3 linked regions of the Elephas maximus indicus genome follow. The protein of the gene in region 2 interacts with the protein of the main gene of each other region in a pairwise test. Links are inferred from orthologs where the notes say so. Each region holds a gene or a part of one and is shown on either strand. Other genes may lie near its edges.

The links.
Region 1: the proteins of tyrosine-protein phosphatase non-receptor type substrate 1-like (region 2) and NOL3 interact in a two-hybrid assay, tested with the Homo sapiens proteins (2 studies listed by BioGRID and IntAct). The two-hybrid records come from large-scale screens. The link is inferred for Elephas maximus indicus from reciprocal best matches to the Homo sapiens genes SIRPA and NOL3.
Region 3: the proteins of tyrosine-protein phosphatase non-receptor type substrate 1-like (region 2) and CCDC57 interact in a two-hybrid assay, tested with the Homo sapiens proteins (2 studies listed by BioGRID). The two-hybrid records come from large-scale screens. The link is inferred for Elephas maximus indicus from reciprocal best matches to the Homo sapiens genes SIRPA and CCDC57.

Annotation. Positions count from the first base shown.
Region 1 is NC_064839.1:33,580,382-33,586,732, reverse strand, and holds NOL3 (nucleolar protein 3), read right to left. Parts: upstream 1,889-6,351; 5' UTR 1,784-1,888; coding exon 1,729-1,783; intron 1,625-1,728; coding exon 1,322-1,624; intron 1,150-1,321; coding exon 791-1,149; 3' UTR 716-790; coding exon of another isoform or gene 708-715; 3' UTR 556-707; downstream 1-555. Other genes in the region: HSF4 (heat shock factor protein 4), read right to left, coding at 4,731-4,882, 5,185-5,254, 5,459-5,524, 5,625-5,730, 6,271-6,351.
Region 2 is NC_064843.1:40,315,715-40,322,845, reverse strand, and holds the start of tyrosine-protein phosphatase non-receptor type substrate 1-like, read right to left. Parts: upstream 2,226-7,131; intron 2,120-2,225; coding exon of another isoform or gene 2,085-2,119; coding exon 2,006-2,084; intron 1-2,005. Other genes in the region: translation initiation factor IF-2-like, read left to right, coding at 2,083-2,119, 2,450-3,352. UniProt on the Homo sapiens protein: Immunoglobulin-like cell surface receptor for CD47. Acts as docking protein and induces translocation of PTPN6, PTPN11 and other binding partners from the cytosol to the plasma membrane.
Region 3 is NC_064837.1:72,005,924-72,013,328, forward strand, and holds the start of CCDC57 (coiled-coil domain-containing protein 57), read right to left. Parts: upstream 3,076-7,405; 5' UTR 3,012-3,075; coding exon 2,966-3,011; intron 1-2,965. UniProt on the Homo sapiens protein: Pleiotropic regulator of centriole duplication, mitosis, and ciliogenesis. Critical interface between centrosome and microtubule-mediated cellular processes. Centriole duplication protein required for recruitment of CEP63, CEP152, and PLK4 to the centrosome.

The sequences.
Region 1 (6,351 bases), on a different chromosome or scaffold from region 2:
GGGTTTCAGTTTTCCCATCTGTAAAACTCAGAAACACTGCTGGAAAGTCCTTATTCATTTAGTCAATGAGTATGTCTAGAGCACCTTCTGTGTGCCAATTACTGGTCAGAACTCTCACTGAACTCCCAGTGCAGGGGAAAGCCAGACAATTAAAACAGCATTTACAGTGAAGTGTGTGGGCTTTGTCTACCCAAGATTCCATCCTGCTCCTCTTTTCTAATCTCACTTTCTAAGGCTCTGATCGCTAAGCATTCCCTAAGCAGAGAGCAGTCCCGCTTCCCTTGCTCTTTGCATCAAGCCCAGGGACTTCCATGGAGCAGGGCTGGTGCCTACACAGGTCCTTAAATGGCCCATGAGGGGGAAAGTGCTGTGGAGCAGGGGGCAGGCCTTTGTCCCACTGGAGCTCTGGGTCTGCAATCTCTAAGGGTGCCGCTTGGGCTATTGAGGGTGGGAATGAGGCTAAAAACTCGGGGGGGGGAGGGGCACAGGGCTGCCCAAACCACTGGTACCCAGGTACCCAGGCTTGCCCACCCCCAGTTCCTGGGCATAGAGCCAGAATGATGGAGAGAGCCCAGGCCGACCCTCCAGGGTTTATTACTTCCAGCGGCACTCGGCCACAAGGAGTCTCAGTGGCATCGACCAAGCCTAGGCACGATCCCAGGTCCCTTCCGGTTTCAGTGGGAAACGGCTGGTCAGCGGTCTGGTCCTCAGGAATCTAGAATCCACAAGGTAATGTGGGAGAGTGGACAGTGAGGTGGGGCCCGCCCTCCACTTCCCAGTCCACGCCCTCCTACCAGCCAGGCATCGGGTTAGGCAGTCCCACACCTTCGGACTCATCCGCTGGCTCACAGTCAAGATCCGGCTCTGGGTCGGGCTCTTGCTCCAATTCAGGCTCTGGTTCTGCCTCTGGTTCAGGTTCCGGATTCATTTGGGGCTCTGGGTCCAGCTCAGCCCCTTCAGAAGCCTCGGCTTCCAGCTCCGGCTTGGGGTCCTCGGAGATCCGGGATTGCACCGCTTCGGAGCCCTCGAGACCCCCAGCCTCATCCCAGCCAGAAGTTCTGGGCAGTCCGGGGCATGCCGTCCCCGAGTCGGGTGTCTCAGGCATCCAGTGGCCCGGGCACGGAGGGTCGTAGCTGCGGTCCCGGTAACCTGGGGCGGAGGTGGGCGTGTCTCAGGCTCAATTTACCCTTTCTCTCTTTCCTCTGCAGCCACTGGTACTCCTCATTGGAAGACAACTCCGGCCCCGGCTTAGCTTTTGCCCCGCCCCCGGGTCGCGCCCCGCCCCCTGCTCTGCCCTAGGCCCGGCCCCACGAGCTCTCACCAGGGCCCACGTGCTGCCAGTCCCAAGCCGGGTCAGGTGCGCGCGCGGTACGCTGAGCACAGCTCAGTAGCTCGTTGCAGGCGATCTCGCCCTTGCTCTGCACCAGCAGCAACAGCCGGCGCATCCTGCGCTCGGCATCAGGCAGAGCGTCCAACGCCTCGTACTCCGCCCCAGTGAGCACGCCCCGCGCCAGCAATGCGTCCAGCAGCAGCCCGGAGTCTGCCTGCAGTGTCTCTACCAGGCGTTTCCGTTCGCGGTCGATCGTCTCCGACGGCCGCTCCTGCGCGTTGCCCATGGTCCAGGCTGCATGGTGACGGGGGAGAGGGGTAATGGGCGCCAGGGGTCCCCCGCCCCTCACCTCTCTCCCGGGGCTCCAGTGAACTGCCAAGGCTGGGGCCAAAATTCACCTTGACCTTGACTAGCCAGGTTCGTCAGCTGCGCGGGACCTGGAGGCCACTGCATTGAGCTCCTTGTCTTCCTGCCTTTTGGGCCGCTTTGTCCTGTCCCTTCTTCCGTTTCTCTAAATGTCACCTGTGGCCTCGCTCACCTCTCTCCCCAACCGGGACTTCCTGAACCCCAGCCACCTGCGCTCCCCACCACCCTCCGCCGCCGCCGCCGCAAATCTCGCCATCGGTTCAGACCCAGTTTATCCAAACTGACCCCTTTCTCTTTCCCAAACTTGCTTCTCCGCTTCAACAGACAGAAAGACCTAGGATTGACCCCAGATACCCCACACCCAGCTCTCTGTCAGGTCCTTTCCACTCTGCTGAATATCTCCTCATCTCCACCACTTACTTTGTCTGGTCTCTTCAGAATCCTCCCTCCGGGCTCTCTGCCTCCATACTCTCCCCTCTGCATTCAAAACCCAAAGTCTTTTCACTTGCTGGAAGAAGTCCAGAGCCCTTACTCTGACCTTGAGGTCATCTTTCCAGACCAGGCCCAGCCCCTGCACTGCCCCCCACCACACCACCACTGTGGTGCAACCCCCAATGTGGTCTCCTAGTCCTTCCTGGTTCCCTGATACCTGAGCAGGAATACCTGAATCCTCTTGAGTCCCAGCTCTGACCATGATTTCCTGACATCACCTGAGACACAACTGTCTCCCCACTGGTCTGGGAGTGACTCACAGACATCTTTGCTTCTTGGCATCTCCGGGGACCAGCAGATAAAAGCTACCGATAAATGTTTCCCAAACTTTTACTGTTTTCCTCCCTGTCTTGGTTTCGTCGCCACCCACCCCCCGGTCTCCTTCTCCCTTTGAGGTCCCTCCTCTACCTTGTTCTAGGCATCTGGGCCTTGTTGGGAAGAGAGAATTTGGTCCTAGCCCCCATCCTGCCTTACAGGTCTCTCCCTCCAGCCCCTGGTATTATACTGTCTCCAATGCCTCCGCTGATCATTTAACCCCTCTTAGCCATATGGAAGTGTCAGCTCCTCCCCTAGGCCACTGAAGAGAGACTAGGACTACCCATCTCCCCCTTCCGGTCTCAACCATGACAAGTGTTGTTGCTCCATCTCTCAGTGAGTCTCTATCAGCCACCCCCACCCCCAGCCCCACCATCATTGCCTCATTTCCTGTAACAGCCCCTCTGGGCACCTCACTCCCACTCTGTCACCCCCACAGCCTAGGATTTATCATTCCCGTTTTACAGATGAGAGAGGCACAGAGAGAGCAAGTGGCAGAGCTGGAATCTGACTTGCTGTATGTAGCCTGAATGCCTGGCAGAAAGTCAGCCCTAACCACCTGCTGTCCACCTTCCACTGCTCATCAGAGAGAGACCAGACCACCTGGCCTGGCTGCTCTAGCTACTCCCCCACCCCCCACACACAGAGCTAGGCCTTTCCCCACTTCCCTCTTCCACTCAGTGCTCCCAGAACTTGCCAAGCCCCTGGCACGTCTGAGCCTGTGCAGATGTTCCTTAAGTCTGGAATGCCTTTTCCCTCCCTCCACCTGGTGAACCTATTTTCCAAGACTCAAATGTTCCCTTATCCACTCCAGTGCTAAGTCTCCCAAAGGCCGATTGGTTCCTTCTGCGAGCACCAGGGAACACCATATACCCCCACCACTGTGTAGTTAGTTAACTGACATCGCTGAACTGTGTGACAGGAAGACCCTCTGCCCTCTTCAGCTGAGGGCTTCCAATGACGGACCTCAATCATTGGGGGAGTGAGAAGAGGGGATCAGCATCTACCCTGGACAGGGAGGGAGGGTGCGATTGGACTGGCCTGCCCTCCTTCCTATTAGCCTCCTCCTCCCATTACCCCAAGTCCTGCCCTTTGTCCTGTCTGGGAAGCAGAGACCCCTCTGGTCGGAGCCCTTCCTCTATAGCCCTCACTGCTCAGAAGGAAACACCGAAGCTACCTCGCTGCCCTTTGGCCTCAGAGCCAGCCCTTCAAGATCCTAGGCCAGATTATTCCCGGAGCGCCAAGCGACCCCAGGCGCAAGCAGAGCAGCAGGGTCCCGGTTCCTCCCTCGCCCCGGCGCATACTCTTGCAAGCGAGGGTCTTGGGGAAACGGCGGGAGCCTTTGCGCATGTGCGCCGGCAAGGATGCCCTTACCTCTCCTCCACCCAGTCCCTGGGTTTAAGAGTCTTGCGGAGGGGCGGGGCTCACCGACCTCCTCAGAGCCTAATCTCAGTTTCTCTTCCCTCCCTCCAGCTGAGTGGGGTGGGGCTCCCCGTCCCGTCCGCTCAGGGCGGCCCCACTCACGGGTCGAGCCTCAGTCACGCAGGAGATGACAGTGCAGAAAATGCTGGGCCGCGGGGAGGGGGAGGACAACAGCTGCGCCGGGGGCGGGGCGGCCAGGGCTGCTGGGAGCCGGTAGTCTGTTTTCTCTCCCCACCGGGTGTGCGCCCGGAGATGAGTCAGAGGGGGGTAGGGGGAGGGACAGTTCGGCCCGCGGCCCCACGTGCCCAGGGCCCACTTTACACCAATATTCTCCTCGACCGCTCCTCTCTGTGTGTCACAGATGATGCTCAGAGAAAACAGTCTAGGGTCACACAGCGTATGCATTGCGGAGTCGGGTCTGACCCAGAAACCCCGCTTCCCGGAGGTCTCAGCGATTGCTCATCAGCTCAGGATCAGGGCCTAGGTAGGAGGGCTAGAGGCGGGCTCCCCAAGCACCTACACCCGCATCGGGGGTTCCTCTATTAAAACCCTAAGATCTGGACGCTTCTACGAGTGCAAAGTCGCCCCCCACCTACGACTTCTGTGCTTCCTGGTCGGTAGAGAAAAGAGGCCAGAAACTGAGAAAAATGCAGTTTTATATGCAGGGCTAGGCGGGGGAATGGAGAGCGGCCGCCGAGTAGCGCGGGCTTCGCTCAGCCTCCGCCAGGGGGCGCCAGGAAGCCGAGAGGGGCGTGCTGCCTGGGACCAGTCCCTCGGCCCAGCCAGCTCCAGAAGGCAGGGGCTCTCAAGGAGAGGGACTGGTTCCTGGGCCCAGGTAGGAGGCCCGGCTCTCGGGGGTGCCATAAATGGTTAAAGCCCCAGGCAGGCCGAGGGCTGGGCCTCCCAAACCCGCCGGAACATCCAGCAGGAGCGGCCTCCCGGGCGTGGGATCCTTGCCTAGGAAGAGTGGAGGCAAGCTCAGCAGACAAAAAAAAAAAGATTCGCCTCCTTTCTTTGGAGAAGGACCGCCCTGCCCTCCCTGCCCGCCCTGCCCTCGGTACAGTTAGGATGGGACATCTATTCACAGTCTCCCCACTCTCACCCAGTGATGAGTGGGTGGGTGGCTGGGGTCTCTCTCTACAGAACAGCCTGAATTCAGAAGGCTTTCCTCCAAAACACAGACTTGCCCAGTCACCAAATCATGATCACTCAGAGTAATCATGACCTCCCCCCAGGCCCTGAGTCACCCCAACCATTACCTGGGCCCTGTGAATTTAACCCCTTGACTGACAGCTCAGCGGCACCTCTCTCTGGAATCAAGGGCTGCATCTGCATGGGAGAACCCCAGGAAGCAGCTGTGGGGCGGGGGGAGGGGAGTGCTGGGATCTAAAGAGGAGAGCTGGGGAATCCTCTGGACTCTGGGGCAGTCCTCCTCAGCCATGCCTTTGGCTCAGAGAGAGCAGTAGCCATGGACCACAGGGCTTGATTCAGCAGTCCCTAGGCCCTTGTCTTCCAATCTCACCCCTGTCTTACCAGGGACAGCTCCATGTCCAAGTCCATCAGGGTCCACTCTCGACTTGAGAGGCTGGGGCCCAGCACCTGAGGGGAGCTTGGGGTCAGTGGTGCCCTCCCCAAGCTGCACAGAGAGCTAGGCCCTACTGGACCCTATGCCCCTGCCCCAGGCTGGAGGGGTACTCACATCCAGGGGCCCTGCAGGCTCCAGACTTTCTGGGGTACCCCGAAGGAGCATTGGAGGCAGTAGACCCTCTGGGCTTTGGCTCCCCCGCTCCAGGCCCAGAGACTCCCTGTGCACAAAGAACTGTTGTTGGCCTGCAGAGCCCACCCATCCCCTCATTAGGTTCCCCCACCCCCACCCTAGAAAACACTAGGACAGGAGTCTCCAAGGGACTCATAGAGAGTACTTCGGTCTCCTACCTGGGGCCTGAGGTTTGGGTTGTGGGGCCGGGGTCTTGGGAAATGTCCCCTCCCTATGCTGCAAGTGTCAATACCAGTGGTTCTTAAACTATTGTGCACATCACGATCACCTCAGTGAACTTGTTTAAAATGCAAATTCCTGAGTCCTTCCACAGAGATGTTGATTGACCTGAACAGGAGCCAGAAATTCTGTATTTTAATAAGCTTCCAACTTTCCAGGGGACTCTGATGCCGGTGCTCCTTGGAGCACTCTCTGGGAAGTCAGGTCAGGATCATGGACAAAGTGCCTAACCTTCCCCTGGGCCACCAAGGGGCAGAGAAGGTTGGAAAGTTTCTCCAGCTGGTAAGTGCTGCTCTGTCTGCAAAAGTAGCCCACATGGGGTTCGCAGTCACAAACAGGCTATGCTTACCTGTCAGGGACCTCCCTGGGGCCCCTTGGTTCAGGCTGCTGGGCATTCCTGGGCCCCTCAGGGCTGAAGCTCCCCTTCCCT
Region 2 (7,131 bases):
TGACAACAGGACCCTGCAGAACAGGGTGAAGGTTGCTGGGAGGCGTGAGCTACAAAGGTGAAACGTCCTCCCCTCCCCACCACCCTCAACTAGGAAATTCATGCTTACCGCCCAAGATTGATTTATTGCAAAGTTAATTTCGGCCCCTCTGCTGCTCCCACTTTTTCAGGCTATTGATGCTGAATGGATTGGAACAGAAGTTTTATGGCCTAATCTTTACCATTTTATAGATTGTTTTTATAGGCACAAGGGGGAGACTTGCTCACAAGAAGGGTGGTGGTGTTCCCAGCCAGCACCCCTGGAAAGGCAGGTTGCCCGTCTGAACACTTGTTAATCAGCACCACCGCTCATTTGCCAAGGACTGAACCACAGGGTCTAGTCGGAGAAGGGTCTGGAATAGACATTTAGAAATTAACTTGGGCCCAGTTCCCAGCTTCAGGAAAATTAAGCACTGGTGAGAGAAGCTTATGCATTTCCAGAGCAGGAACTCGGACTTTCGCAGGGGGCAAATGACCAGTTCAGGCAGGAAGGAGCAGATTGGAGATACCACTCACTGAAGACATGAAATATATCAGTACTTCCTCCCACCCTGGTGGCACAGTGGTTAAGTGCTACAGCTGCTAACCAAAGGGGGTGGGCAGTTCGAATCCGCCAGGCGCTCCTTGGAAACTCTACAGGGCAGTTCTACTCTCTCCTGTAGGGTTGCTATGAGTCGAAATCAACTTGATGGCACTGGGTTTGGTTTGGGTTTTCCTCCCACCCAGCAAGGACCCAACTGGAACTGAAAGAGCTGGGGAGGGGGGAGGGGATAGAGGGGGTACCCATGTGGATTCCCAAGGTTCAGGCGAAACTGCAGGGCAGAGAGAAGCTGTTGTCCACCGCCACTTCTCCCTCCACCCACTCTTTGCTAGTTCTCCCTTTTTCCCTGCTATCTGATGGTTACCAGTCTCCAGGCAAATGCGGGGTGGGGGGTAGGGGGGGAAAAGCAGATACTGAGCTCATCCTTACCTCCCTCCTGGAGGGTAGGAGGTACAGAAACTTCTCTGCCAACACAGAGATCTCCATTCTGCCCCCGCTCCCTTACATGCCCAGTTGTCTGAACCCCACACCCTCCCAGGAGACCTGGTGTTTTGCAAAACCCCTTTAAGAAGCGGGACTCGTGAATGGTGACCTCACCTCTTGGCGAATACACACACAGTAGCCTTCAGAGCCCGTCTGCTGGTGACAGCTAGGTGTTTGATGTAGGCCAACAAAAAGACATGCTCAGAGCCACAGGTAACAGCCCCACAGAGCACCTGAGCTGCAGGGAGCTGCCGAGAAGCTGGGGAAGGCAGGAGGAAGTAGGGAGCCCATGGGAAGGAAAGTGGTAGGAAGGGAGAGCAAGGAGCTCAACTAGGCAGCTTTGGCAACCACAGGGACAATCTGGGGTGTTTTCACTTCAGGATCTGTGGTTTGCAGCAGCTCACGCCAGGGTTGCAGCAGCCTCCTCTCCTCTCTTTCTCTCCCCCGCCACATACACTAAGGCTGTTTACTCTGTGTAACAGAGTCCCCTATTCCTGCATTTTTGACAGCCGGTTTCTGTTCCATGCCAGGCAGCCTAGGGATGACCCCTCTCAGACCCAGAAATCAAACATGTGGAAAGGGTAAATCCTGGACCAGAGAGCTTCTAGAGAAGCAGGGCGCCTTGCTCTGAGAACACAGATAGCCTGCTTCCCCCATGGGGCAGGTGCCTGCTGAGCCAACTCATCTGGTATGCCTCAGCGCCGGGTCAGTTCAGTGCTGGCACGGTCAGGGTCAAGACAAACAAGACTACGCGGCAGGGACCTGGGTTCTGTCTTTCTTTGGCTGTGTGACTCTGGGCAAGTGGCTGGCCCTCTCTGGGCCTCAGTTTTCGCATCTGTAGCCCATCTCTCCCCCTAGTACTGATCGACATTAACCGAGGAGCTCCGCGTGGCACTCTGAAAGGCCTGAATCTGCAGTTTGGGGAGGGCAGGGAGGTGCTTACCTGGCCAGGCGCAGGACGCGGCGAGCAGCAGACAGAGCAGCGTCCCGAGGCGGCCGGGGGCCGGGCCGGCGGGCTCCATGGGCCCCGGCTGCGGAGCGAGGAGGGAGAGCGGCCGTGAGTGCGCGTTCGGGCGGGCGCGGGCTGGAGCGGGGAAATGACTAAGGCTCCCCCCTCCTCCCCCTCCGCCTCCCCTCCCGGCCGGGCTGCCCACTCCCCGTACCGACGCCCGGGGCGGTGAGAAGCCGCCGTCCCCGCCGCAATTTTCGTAGAACCCCCCCAGGAGAGACTGAGAGCCGGAGAGGGGAGACCCCAACTGCGCGAGAAATAAAGCCGGAGACGGGTAGAGAGGCGGCGGGGTAAAGAAACAGACCCAAGGGAGCCAGGCAGAGAGCCAGAGACAGGGAGGGAGAGAGAGAGGGAGAGCGCGCGAGAGAGAGGAGTGAGCAAGCAGCGCGCAGACCGAGGCAGAGCGGGAGAGAGGAGGACGGGCGGGCAGCGGCGAGGAGCAGGCACTGCCGCCCAGGCCGCCCCCGCCGCAGCCCACTTGCCCCGCCCGGGCTCCTCCGCGGCGCCGGTCGCTCGCTCGCTCCGGCCTGGAGTCCTGGCCGCTGCCCCCGCCCTCCAGCAGCCCGGCCGCCTCCTCCTTCCCTCTCCTCCTCCCTCTTCCCGCCGGAGGAGGTTGTGGGCTCCGGCCCTCCGCACCTTCCCGCGAGCGCCCGCCTGCGCGCCCGCCGGCCGCGCGCCCCGGGGGAGAGAACGCGCGCGGGCCGCGTGGCGCACCGGGCCGGGGAGGCACCCCCGGCCGGTCCGCGGCCTCGCGCTCCCCGCTTGAGGTCAACTCCGAAGCGCCGGCGGCTCGCCCCCCAGCCCCGAGCCAGCCTGCTCCCCCCGCCGCCTCCACTCACTGCCAGGCTCGGACCTGCGCCGCCTGTGCGGGCTGGAAGACTGTGGACGCGCCGCCGGGGGCTGCCCAGAGGCTGGGCCCCCCGCTCCACTTTGCGCAAACTTGTTTTTCTAAGGTCAGCGCCGCGAGCTGGCGACAGCGTCCTTTTAAGGTGGACTGGGGGAGTCGCGGCTGGCCTCCCCTCGCCTCCGGACTCCACTCCGGCCGCGGACAGTCCCCAGTTAGCCCCAGCTCCCCGCTGGCGAGAGGCTGGGGGCGACGAAAGGGTGTGTGTGTGAGTGTGTGCGAGAGGGTGTGTAGGGGCGGAGGTGGCGCCGCTTTTGCTCCTCCCCGAGTGGCCCTGCCCCTGTGCCCCAAAGCTGAAGGGCCCCTTTCGGGGTTGGGCGCCGGCGAGAGGGGCCCGATTCTTTCACAGCTGGACCGAGGTGAAGGAAAAGCAGGAAGTAAGTGAATGTGGGGGGAGGGGGGAGAGGAAGGAGTGAGTGGTGGTACAAAAATAGCGCGTGTGTAGGAAGGACTTCAGTACCGCCTGGAAAAGAGGCGCTGGAAGGAGAGTGGAGCGAGGAGGGGGGCTGTGGCAGGCAGGCGAGGGGAAGAGTCCGGGTCTCCCCGAGGAGGTGGGTTCTCTGGCCAGGTACCTCTCGGTCTGGCAGTGGGGTAGGCCCTGGCGGGGGTGTGTATTGGGAGGAGCTTGAAGGACTGGGCTCCAGTTAAGGGGAAGACGACAGGCAGTGAGGAAAATGAGGGGCCAGGAGGAGAGCAAGGGAAGAGGCCTGGAAGCTGACAACAGAGCCTTGTCGTGAAAAAAACAATCCCGCGCTCTTGTTCCTTGAGGGAACTCTGTGTTCTCAATGGAAGCCAGGTCAGTGATGGGGAATGGGAGTGCTGTGGACACCTGGCAGAAGGCTCCGGACTTTGGGAGGGGAAGGAGTCCAGGACCTCTGCTAATTGGAGGGCTCTTGAGTTGGAAATAAGCTCGGAGATAACCAATTTTGCTTCCCTATGCAGCGAAGACAGAGTCCACATGGCGTAGCGGTTGAGAGTTCAGCTGGTAACCAAAAGGTCGCAGTTGGAATGCACCAGCGGTCCTTGGAAATCCTATGGGGCAATTTTACACAGTCCTATAGGTTCGCTGGAAACTGTGGTGGTGTAGTGGTTAAGTGCTACGCCTACTAACCAAGAGTTCGGTAGTTCGAATCCGCCATGCGCTCCTGGAAAACCCTGTGGGGCAGTTCTACTCCGTCCTATAGGGTCGCTATGAGTCGCAATGAACTCGACGACAGTGGGTTTGGTTTTTGGTATAGGGTCAAAGTCGACTCCACCACAACTGACAACGGCAACAGTCAGTTAAGTGCTCTGAATGAATCCGGGTTGCGGGGGAGCAGACGGTCAGGGGGAGGCCCAGCCCTGCAGACAGAAACAAATTGAGGCCCACAGAGGGAGTGGACTTACCTAAGGCCACACAGGAAGGCCTGGAGTAGAAACAAGATTTGAATTCCTGATTCTCAAGCTAACAATCCTCTCTTCCTTCCCCACCAGCCTCCTAGTCCAATGCTTGGTCCTGCTGTTATGCTAAGACAGGGAAGCAGGCAGGGTATAGCTACTGAAAGCATGGGCCAGGCTCCCTGGGTTCAAATCCCGCCACCACCTCTTATGAGCAGACTTGGGAAAATAACTTATCCTTTCTGTGCCTCAGTTTCCTTGTATGAAATGAGGCCAACATGAGTAGTGACTAAAGGTTGTTGTGGGAATTAGCAAATTAATGTTTGTAAAACACTTAAAACCGTGCCCAGCACACACCAAGTGCCATATCAGTGTGTGATAAATCAAGTGCTTGACAACAATCCTTGGGCACCCACAGGGTTCTGGGCAGCATTTGAAGTGCAAGGGAATTTTCATTTCTGTGGATGTAGAAGATACAACAGCAGCCCATACTAGGTCCCTGTTAAGAGGAATTTACATTCTCATAGGGGAGACAGGTAAGTAGACAAGTGCAAATAATTAATGAACAACAGAAGGTTGAGCTGAGAGAGTGAGAGGAGAGCTAATTTAGATAAGGGTGGTCAGGTCAGGCCTCCCTCAGAAGCTAGAGGCCGAGTCACATAAAGGGGCAGCAAGCCGAGGACTGGGGGAGAAAGATGTTCCAGGAAGAGGGAATAGCAAATATAAAGGCCCCAGGCTTGTGGTGCAAGTTGTTAAGCACTCAACTCCTAGCTGAAAGGTTGGCAGTTCAAGCCCACCCAGAGGCACCTTGGGAGAGACAGGCCTGGTGATCTGCTTCCAAAAGGTCACAGCCTAGAAAACCCCATGGAGCAGTTCTACTTTGCACACATGGGGTCACCATGAGTCACAATCATCTTGACAGCAGCTGACAGCAACAGGCCAGCTTGGTTGGAGGGGAACAAGTGGAGGGTGAGGAGGGCTGGGCAGCCCTGCAGACCTTGGTAAGGAGCCTAATTTATTACCATTGGAGGACTTTATGCAGGAGAGTGCCATTGCCTGATTTATGTGTTTAAAAGGCCACTCTGGCTGCCAGTGGAGAATGGGTCAGGGAGGGGAGCATGGAAGTGGGGTACCGGTGAGGTCCTCAGCATCTGAGGTGGGCGGCAGGGAAAAGGTTCTGACTCTTCGGGCAGGGCCTGGCTGGGACTATGAAGGTGACCATCACCTGTATCCAGGGGTGCTGAGGAAGGTCAGAGGGGAGGCAGCTCCCTGGCCTGGGCTTCCAGAAGGCTCTGCTGGCTCACTATTCTTTACGACACAGACACGCAGAAACCTGCCCAGGATTAGGAACCTGCCTGGATTAGGGAAGGATAATAATTGAACCACCTGCTATTTATATAGAGCACCTTTGGCAAAAGCGCTCAACAGGGCTTTCTGACACAGGGGTCATTTTCACCCTCACCCCCACTCCAGGAGGGGCCCTGGGCCTTGTTCTCTGGATTCAGAGTCCACATAAAATCACCCTTGGCCGACTGTCAGCCCTGGGAGGTCATTGAGACCAATGGGCAGATGGGTCAAATGAGGTGGAGGAGACACCTTGCCTGAGGTCCTCTAGAGAGATTACGACAAATAATTGATGTGAATCAGCCACCCCCATAGCAGGCTCCTGGGATGCCCTGGATCAAAATAGAACTGTATTCATACATGTGTCATTCATTCATGTACTCAACATTATTTATTCGGCATCTACTATGTGTTGGCCATTGTGCTAGGCATTGAGAGGTAGCAGCTGGAAAAAAAGACAAAAATGTCCTCAAAGAGCTGACATTCTAGTGGGGAAAACAAATCAGCAAGTAAAATATTTAGATGAGGTTAAGTGCTACAGGCGGTAATAAACCAAGGAAGGGGCCCAGGGGTGCCAGTGAAAGGGGTGGGGTGCAATTTAAAAATGGGTCAGGGAAGGCTTCACTGAGGAGGTGGTTTTGAGCAAAAACTGAGAAGAAGGTCTATGGGAAGCCAGAGGCAGCCCCACCGTCCAGTTGTTCCCCATGTGTAACCCACCAACAAATCCTGCTGGCTCTGCCCTCAGGTCTCATCCAGAACCAAACAACTCCCCCTCTGCCACTGCCCCTGGTCTGAGCCCCCAGCTTCTCCCCCTGGGCTCCCTGCTTTCACGCTTGTCCCCTCCTGTCTCTTTTCCCTTCAACAGCCAGAGGGACCCCTTTAGATAAGTCGATCCCGTCCCTTTCCTGTTGTCAGGATCTGCTGGAGGGAGGGAGGATCGGGCCAAGGCTGCCAATTTGACTTATGTGATGTGGGGGAAAAAAAAATGTTTTGAACCTCAGTCTCTTCATCTGTGAAATAGAAATAAAAAGGTCTACCCTGATCTGAACAAGTCGACAAGAGCTAAAGTACAATCTTGACTATATCCTACCTGAATTTTGAGACCATCTCAAGAATAGATTCGACACGTTGAGCACTAGTAACTGAAGACCAGATGAGTTGTGGAATGACATCAAGGACATCATACACGAAGAAAGCAACAGATCATTAAAAAGACAGGAGACAAAGAAAAGACCAAATTTGATATCAGAAGAGACTCTGAAGCTTGCTCATGAACGTCGAGTAGCTAAAGCAAAAGGAAGAAATGATGAAGTAAAAGACCTGAACAGAAGATTTCAAAGGGCAGCTCGAGACGACAAAGTAAAGTATTATAATGATACGAGCAAGGATCTGGAGATAGAAAACCAAAAGGGAAGAACATGCTCGGCATTTCTCA
Region 3 (7,405 bases), on a different chromosome or scaffold from region 2:
CTTTGTGCATGTTCTAGGACCAAGAAAATCAGTAAATATATCCAGGACAATGGGAGCCAGGCTCAGAGAAAGGATCACAAACCAGGCAAGGGAAAGTAGCACAAGCCCTGTGGTAATGGATGGGAACTGAAGGTGTCAGTGCAAATTCATAGGTACACAGATGTAGAAATAGACAGGTGTGTATGATATATACAAAGATGTATTTCCCTGCTCTGTCCCTTGAGAAGGCCAAGGAGCAATGACACCCCAGAAGCAGCGAGCACACCCAGTACCCAGATGTCTAAACACCGTCCTCAACTAAAAGGAACTAGAGAATAGCTGATTCCAGGGCTAGTCCAGGAGAGCACAAGATGAGCCTGGGACATCTGTGGTACCAGAAAGTAAAGAAGTGCTCCGGAAGAGGACCCAGAGGCCAACCTGAAGGGCTCCCAATGGCCAAATATGGGACAATCCAACCAACAAAATCAATGATAGTACTAGATTACAACCCATGGAATAAAATCACAATCCATGAGTTACGGACTAGTACACATACCCTACACAAAATACATAGACTAATATACGAATAGCTGGAGCCCTGGTGACCCTGTGGTTAAGAGCTCGGCTGTTAACCAAAAGACCAGCAGTTCAACTCCACCAGCCGCTCCTTGGAAACCCTATGGGGCAGCTCTACTCTGACCTACAGGGTCACCACTCAACAGCAATGGGTTTTTTTTTTTTTTTTAATATATGAATATATAAAAAATACACCAATACACAAAAATAAATGAATAAATAGATAAATGGGGGAGACGGGAAGGTTCTTCCTTACAGTTGTTGTTAGGTACCATGGAGTCAGTTCCGACTCATAGTGACCTTACAGTAGAATTTCAAATTACAAATGTAGAACGAATATGGAATAGACAGATATACATTAACAGCTGCTTCAGGCAAAACTCAGCTCATGATGCTAAAGCTAATGGTAGGAAGAACAGCGTGAAACAAGATACTTCCATAGTCTCAAAATATTCCCTCACAGATATATTTATCATTTACAAGAGAGAACAGCAACTGTACAGTGGAGAGGCCTGGCAGACGCGCTCACACCAAGTGATCGAAGTCAGCATCACCACGAATGGGACCAGTCAGTGTCACAGGCCTCCTGACAAGCTACACTGAGAAAAACACTGCTTCGCTTTTGAGATTTCCTTACATCAAAGGAAACTGAAACCAAGGGGCATCCTACAAAATTGCTAGCTAGAGCTCTGCAAATGTGTCAGGGTTGTGAAAGACACAGAGGCCGAGGAAAGGCTGCCGATTGAAGAAGGCGAAGAAAACACAGCAGCTAAACGCAAGGCGCAGCCACAACAACGGACTCAAACACACCAACGATGGTCAACGTGGTGCGGGACCAGGTGACGTTCCGTTCCGTTGTGCCTAAGGTAACCCTGAGTCGGAGAAACTCGATGGCAACAACCAGCCACCACCACCACCACCACAAAAGCAATGCAGGGTCCTGGACTGGATCCTGGGTCAGAGTGAAGTCCTCACAGAGATAGCTGCTAAGTTTGAATACAGCCTGGTACCCCTCGCCTTCGAGTCGACTCAGACTCATCGCGACCCTATAGGACAGAACAGAACTGCCTCCGTGGAATATCCAAAGAGCACCTGGTGGATTCAAACTGCCGACCTTTTGGTTAGCAGCGGTAGCACTTAACCACTACACCACCAGGGTTTCCTACCGCCTGATATCAATGTTAATTTCCTGACTTTTGGTACGTGAACTGTGTAAGAAGTTAACATTTTTTAGGAAACTGCTTGAAAAGTGCTCAGAAATTCTTTGTACTATTTTTGCAACTTTTCTGTAGGTCCTAAATAACTGGGGGGGGGGGGGGGGGTGGGTCAGACTCTGGAGCCAGACTGCCTAGGGTTGGCCCCCTTTACTGGCTGTAGAACTTGGGCAAATGATCTTATTTCTGTGTGTGGCACCTTCATCGTCTGTAAAAAGGCAATAACCATGCCCTGCCATCAGGTTATTGGGTTTGTTTTTTTTTTCCCCAAATAACGACAAAACACAAAGCACTATAGCAGGAAGCTTCGGTGCCAGGTTCCCATCCTTCCACCCGCACTTCATCAACCCAGGAAGTAATAGCAGTGTCGTCTACCACTGGGAGCAGAGAGGGGGAAGAAGGGCAAACAGCAGTCAGTGAGCTTCCGGGGCGCTCGGGTGGACCCGCGCTGTTCCAGCATTCTGCTGTTGTTGTTCCAGGCCTTGCAGTCGGTTCCGACTCACAGCGACCCTGTGCACAAAAGGAAACACTGCCCGGTCCTGCGCTATGCCCACAATCGCTGCTACGTCCGAGCCCACTGTTGCAGCCACTGTGTCAATCCTTCTCGTTGAGAGTCTCTTTTTTGCTGACCCTCCACTTTCCCAAGTGTGATGTCCTTCTCCAGGGACAGGTCCCTCCCGACAACATGTCCAAAGCAGTAAGACCGACTAGAACCAGAATGTTCCAGCATTCTAGCTGATACTATGTCCCCACTTCACAGGTGAGGGTGAAGAACTGTCCGGGCCGCGCCTGGCCGCGCCGGCGGACCCCGAGCCCGAGCCCGGCCGCGCCGGCGGACCCCGAGCCCGAGCCCGGCCGCGCCGGCGGACCCCGAGCCCGAGCCCGGCCGCGCCGGCGGACCCCGAGCCCGAGCCCGGCCGCGCCGGCGGACCCCGAGCCCGAGCCCGGCCGCGCCGGCGGACCCCGAGCCCGAGCCCGGCCGCGCCGGGGCGGTCACCGTCGGACACCGCGTTCCTGAGGAGCGATGTCCCCCGAGACGTGGAGGTCACGGGCTTCTGCACAGAGTGTGGCCAGCAGGCGGCGATCTGCAGGCCGAGGACGCGGTCCTCGCACGTTACCCGCCCCGGCGACCCTGTCTCTCCGCCGCGTCCGGGTCGCCAAGCCCCGCTCCTCCCCGTCCCCGCGCCGCGGCTCACCGGGATCTTCTGTCCGCCGCTGCCGCCAGTCCCCCCGCGTTGCCATGACGACTCGGTCCTTCGGCCGCGGCCGGGCGCGCTCCGTGCGCCGCTGGGCTCCGCCGGGCGGAAACGCGAACCCCGGCTCCGGGTTCCGGCTCGCGGCCGCCGCCACTCAAAACAACGAAGAGGAGTCCCGGGAAAAGGGCCTGGGCGACAGCCTGCCCGGCTCCCCCGGCCTGCTGCCTCGTACACTTAGCCCGGGCCGGCTTCCGCACCAGTCCGTGGGCCCCTCAGGACAGAGCTCCTGTTCGAGGGGAGCGGCCGCTGGTCGCCGGGTCCGCTCCAGGACCGGGTGCACCAAAGGGTGCCCGCGCTACCTCGCCCCGGCCCGGCCCCCAGAGCCACAGCACATCGGGGGCCAAGTCCATGTCCCGCAGTGAGCCCAGGCCTGGGGCCGGGAGATCCCACGGAGCGGACACAGCCCTCGGTGGCAATGAGGTCCCGGCAGAGGGGACAGCGCCCCTTCCGTGGGTCGGGGTCTGCGTCCTGGCCCTGCGTGCCTCAGTGGGGCCAACCTGCGAAGTGGGGTCGACGAGAGCTCTGCACACTCCCTGACCCTGTGGTGACTGTGACCATCCCTGCAGCCCAGCCAAGGGTGCCAGGCCCTCAAGCTTCACAGCTGGCTGACCAAGAACTTGGGCTCCGGGACCTCGATTCCTGAGTTCTAATCCCAGTCTGACTTGGTCGAGGATGTTATAGATTGAATTGTGTCCCCCAAAAATGTTTGTCAACTTGGCTAGGCCATGATTCCCAGTATCATGTCATTGTTCACCATTTTGTCATCTGCTGTGATCTCCCTGTTGTTAGGTGCCATCAAGTCAGTTCTGACTCATAGAGACCCTATGAATGAAACACTGCCCAGTCCTGCACCATCCTCACAATCATTCTGCTTAAACCCTCTGTTGCAGCCACTGTGTCAATTCATCTCATTTAGGGTCTTCCTCTTTTTCGCCAACCCTCTATTTTACCAAGCATGATGTCCTTCTCCAGGGACTGATCCCTCTTGACAACATGACCAAAGTATGTGAGACACAGCCTTGCCATCCGTGCTTCTAAGGAGCATTCTGGCTGTACTTCTTCTAAGATAGATTTGTTCATCCTTTTGGCAGTCCATGGTATATTCAAGATTCTTCACCAACACAATTCAGAGGTATCAACTCTTCTTCAGTCTTCTTTATTCATTGTCCAGCTTTCACCTGCATAGAAGGGGGTTGAAAACACCATGGTTTGGGTCATGAGCACCATAGTCTTCAGGGTGACATCTTTGCTCTTCAGCACTTTGAAGAGGTCCTTTGCAGCAGATTTGCCCAATGCAATGCGTCTTTTGATTTCTTGACTGCTGCTTCCATGGCTGTTGATTGTGGACCCAAGTAAAATTAAATCCTTGACAGCTTCAATCTTTTCTCCATTTATCATGATGTTGCTTATTGGTCCAGTTGTGGGGATTTTTGTTTTCTTTATGTTGAGGTGTAATCCATACTGAAGGCTGTGGTCTTCGATCTTCATCAGTAAGTGCTTCAAGTCCTCATCACTTTCAGCAAGCAAGGTTGTGTCATCTGCATAAGGCAGGTTGTTAATGAGTCTTCCTCCAGCTTCTCGTATTATTTGCTCAGCATACAGACTGAATAGGTATGGTGAAAGGATATAACCCTGACACACCCCTTTCCTGACTTTAAACCATGCAGTCTCCCCTTGTTCTGTTCCATCAGCTGCCTCTTAGTCTCTGTACAGGTTCTGCATGAGCACAATTCAGTGCTCTGGAATTCCCATTCTTTGCAATGTTATTCATACTCTGTTATGATCCACACAGACAAAAAACTTTGCATAGTCAATAAAACACAGGTAATATTTCTGGTATTCTCTGCTTTACAGGTAGGATCCATCTGACATCAGCAATGATATCCCTTGTTCCATATCCTCTTCTGAATCCAGCTTGAATTTCTGGCAGTTCCCTGTCAATGTACTGCTGTAGCCATTTTTGAATTATCTTCAGCAGAATTTTACTTGCAAAAAAAACACCCAGTTTTTTTTTTTTTTTTTTGCAGTGTGACATAAATGATATTGTTCAATAATTTTCACGTTCTGCTGGATCTCCTTTCTTTGGAATGGGCACAAATATGGATCTCTTCCTGTTGGCTGGCCAGGTAGTTGTCTTCCAAATTTCTTGGCATAGACAAGTGTGTACTTCCAGTGCTGTATCCGTTTGTTGAAACTTTTCAGTTGGTATTCCATCAATTCCTGGAGCCTTGTTTTTCACCCATGCCTTCAGTGCAACTTGGATTTCTTCCTTCAGTACCATTGGTTCCTGCTTATATGGTACTTCCTGAAATGGTTGAACATCAACCAATTCTTTCTGGTATAATGACTGTGTATTTCTTCTATCTTCTTTTGATGCTTCCTGAGTCATTTGATATTTTCCCCATTGAATCCTTCAATATTGCAACTGAAGGCTTTAATTTTTTTTTCAGTTCTTTCAATTTGATAAATGCAGAAAGCGTTCTTGCCTTTTGGTTTTCCATCTCCAGCTCTTTCCACATGTCATTATAATACTTTACTTTGTCTTCTAGAGCTGCCCTTTGAAATCTTCTGTTCAACTCTTTTACTTCATCATTTCTTCCTTTCGCTTTAGCTACTCAACGTTCAAAAGCAAGTTTCGGAGTCTCTTCTGACGTCCATCTTGGTCTTTTCTTTCTTTCCTGTCTTTTTAATGACCTGTTGCTTTCTTCATGTATGATATCCTTGATGTCGTTCCACACAACTCGTCTGGTCTTTTGGTCACGAGTGTTCAACACATCAAATCTGTTCTTGAGATGGTCTCTAAATTCAGGTGGGATATACTCAAGGTCATACTTTGGCTCTCGTCAACTTGTTCTAATTTTCTTCAGTTTCACCTTGAACTTGCATATGAGCAACTGATGGTCTGTTCCACAGTCAGCCCCTGGTCTTGTTTTGACTGATGATATTGAGCTTTTCTATTGTCTCTTTCCACAGATGTAGTCGATTTGATTCCTGTGTATTCCACCTGGAGAAGGCCATGTGTATAGTTGCCATTTATATTGGTGAAAAAACGGTATTTGCAATGAAGAAGTCATTGGTCTAGCAAAATTCTGTCATGTGATCTCCAACATCATTTCTATCACCAAGGTCATATTTTTCAAGTACCAATCCTTCTTCTTTGTTTCTGACTTTTGAATTCCAATCTCCAGTAACTATCAATGCATCTTGGTTGCCTGTTCGATCAATTTCAGACTGCAAAAGCTGGTAAAAATCTTCAATTTCTTCATTTTTGGCCTCAGTGGTTGGTGTGTAAATTTGAATAATAGTCCTATTAACTGGTCTTCCTTATAGGCATATGGATATTATCCTATCACTGACAGCATTGTACTTCAGGATAGATAATGTAATGTTCTTTTTCATGGTGAATGCAACACAATTCCTCTTTGTCATTCCTGGCATAGTAGACCATATGATTGTCCAATTCAAAATGGCCAATACCAGTCCATTTCAGCTCATTAATGGCTAGGACCTTCCCATGTGTTGAAAATCCTACTTCTATGATGTTAATGAGGCAGGAGTCAATCTACAAGGTTAGGCTGTGTCTTGAGTCAATGCCTTTTGAGACATTAAAGAGAGAAGCCAGCAGAGAGACAGGGGGACCTCTTGCCACCAAGAATGAAGGACCAGGAGGGGAGCATGTCTTTTGGACCCGAGGTCCTTGTGCTGAGAAGCTTCTAGACCCGGGGGAAGATTGATGACAAGGACCTTCCCCCAGAGCCGACAGAGAGAGAAAGCCTTCTCCTGGATCTGTTGCCCTGAAACTGGACTTCTAGTCTCCTAAACTGCAAGAGAATAAATTTTCCTTTGTTAAAGCAATTCACTTGTGGTATTTCTGTTATAGCAGCACTAGAAAACTAAGGGGAGGACCCCGACCCAGGGTGACCCCGTGCACAACGCTGCTAACCTTAAATATGACCCTGTTTGGGAATAAGGGGTTTTCTTTTGTCATGTTAACGAAGGCACACCAGCATAGGGTGAGTCCTAAACCTAATCTGAGGGGTGTCTCATAAAAAGAGCAAAATAGACACAGAGACACACAGGGGAAAATAGACACCACGTGAGGATCATCTGCGAGCCCAGACCCTGATTTGGACTTTCAGCCTCCAGAACTGTGAGAAAACAAATTTCTGTACTTGTGGCATTTGGGTTACAGCAGCTCTAGGTAACTAAGACAGTTCTGTAACTTGCCCCTGTTTACCGACAAGCAAACCGAAGTATTGTACTGCCCAGCACAGCGATGTCGACACACGTCAGCTGGTTCCATCATCCATGGCGCAAACAAGGGAAGAGGAAGGCCAAAAGGCCATCACCTGGGGGGTTGGGCCTGCAGCTCTCAGGATG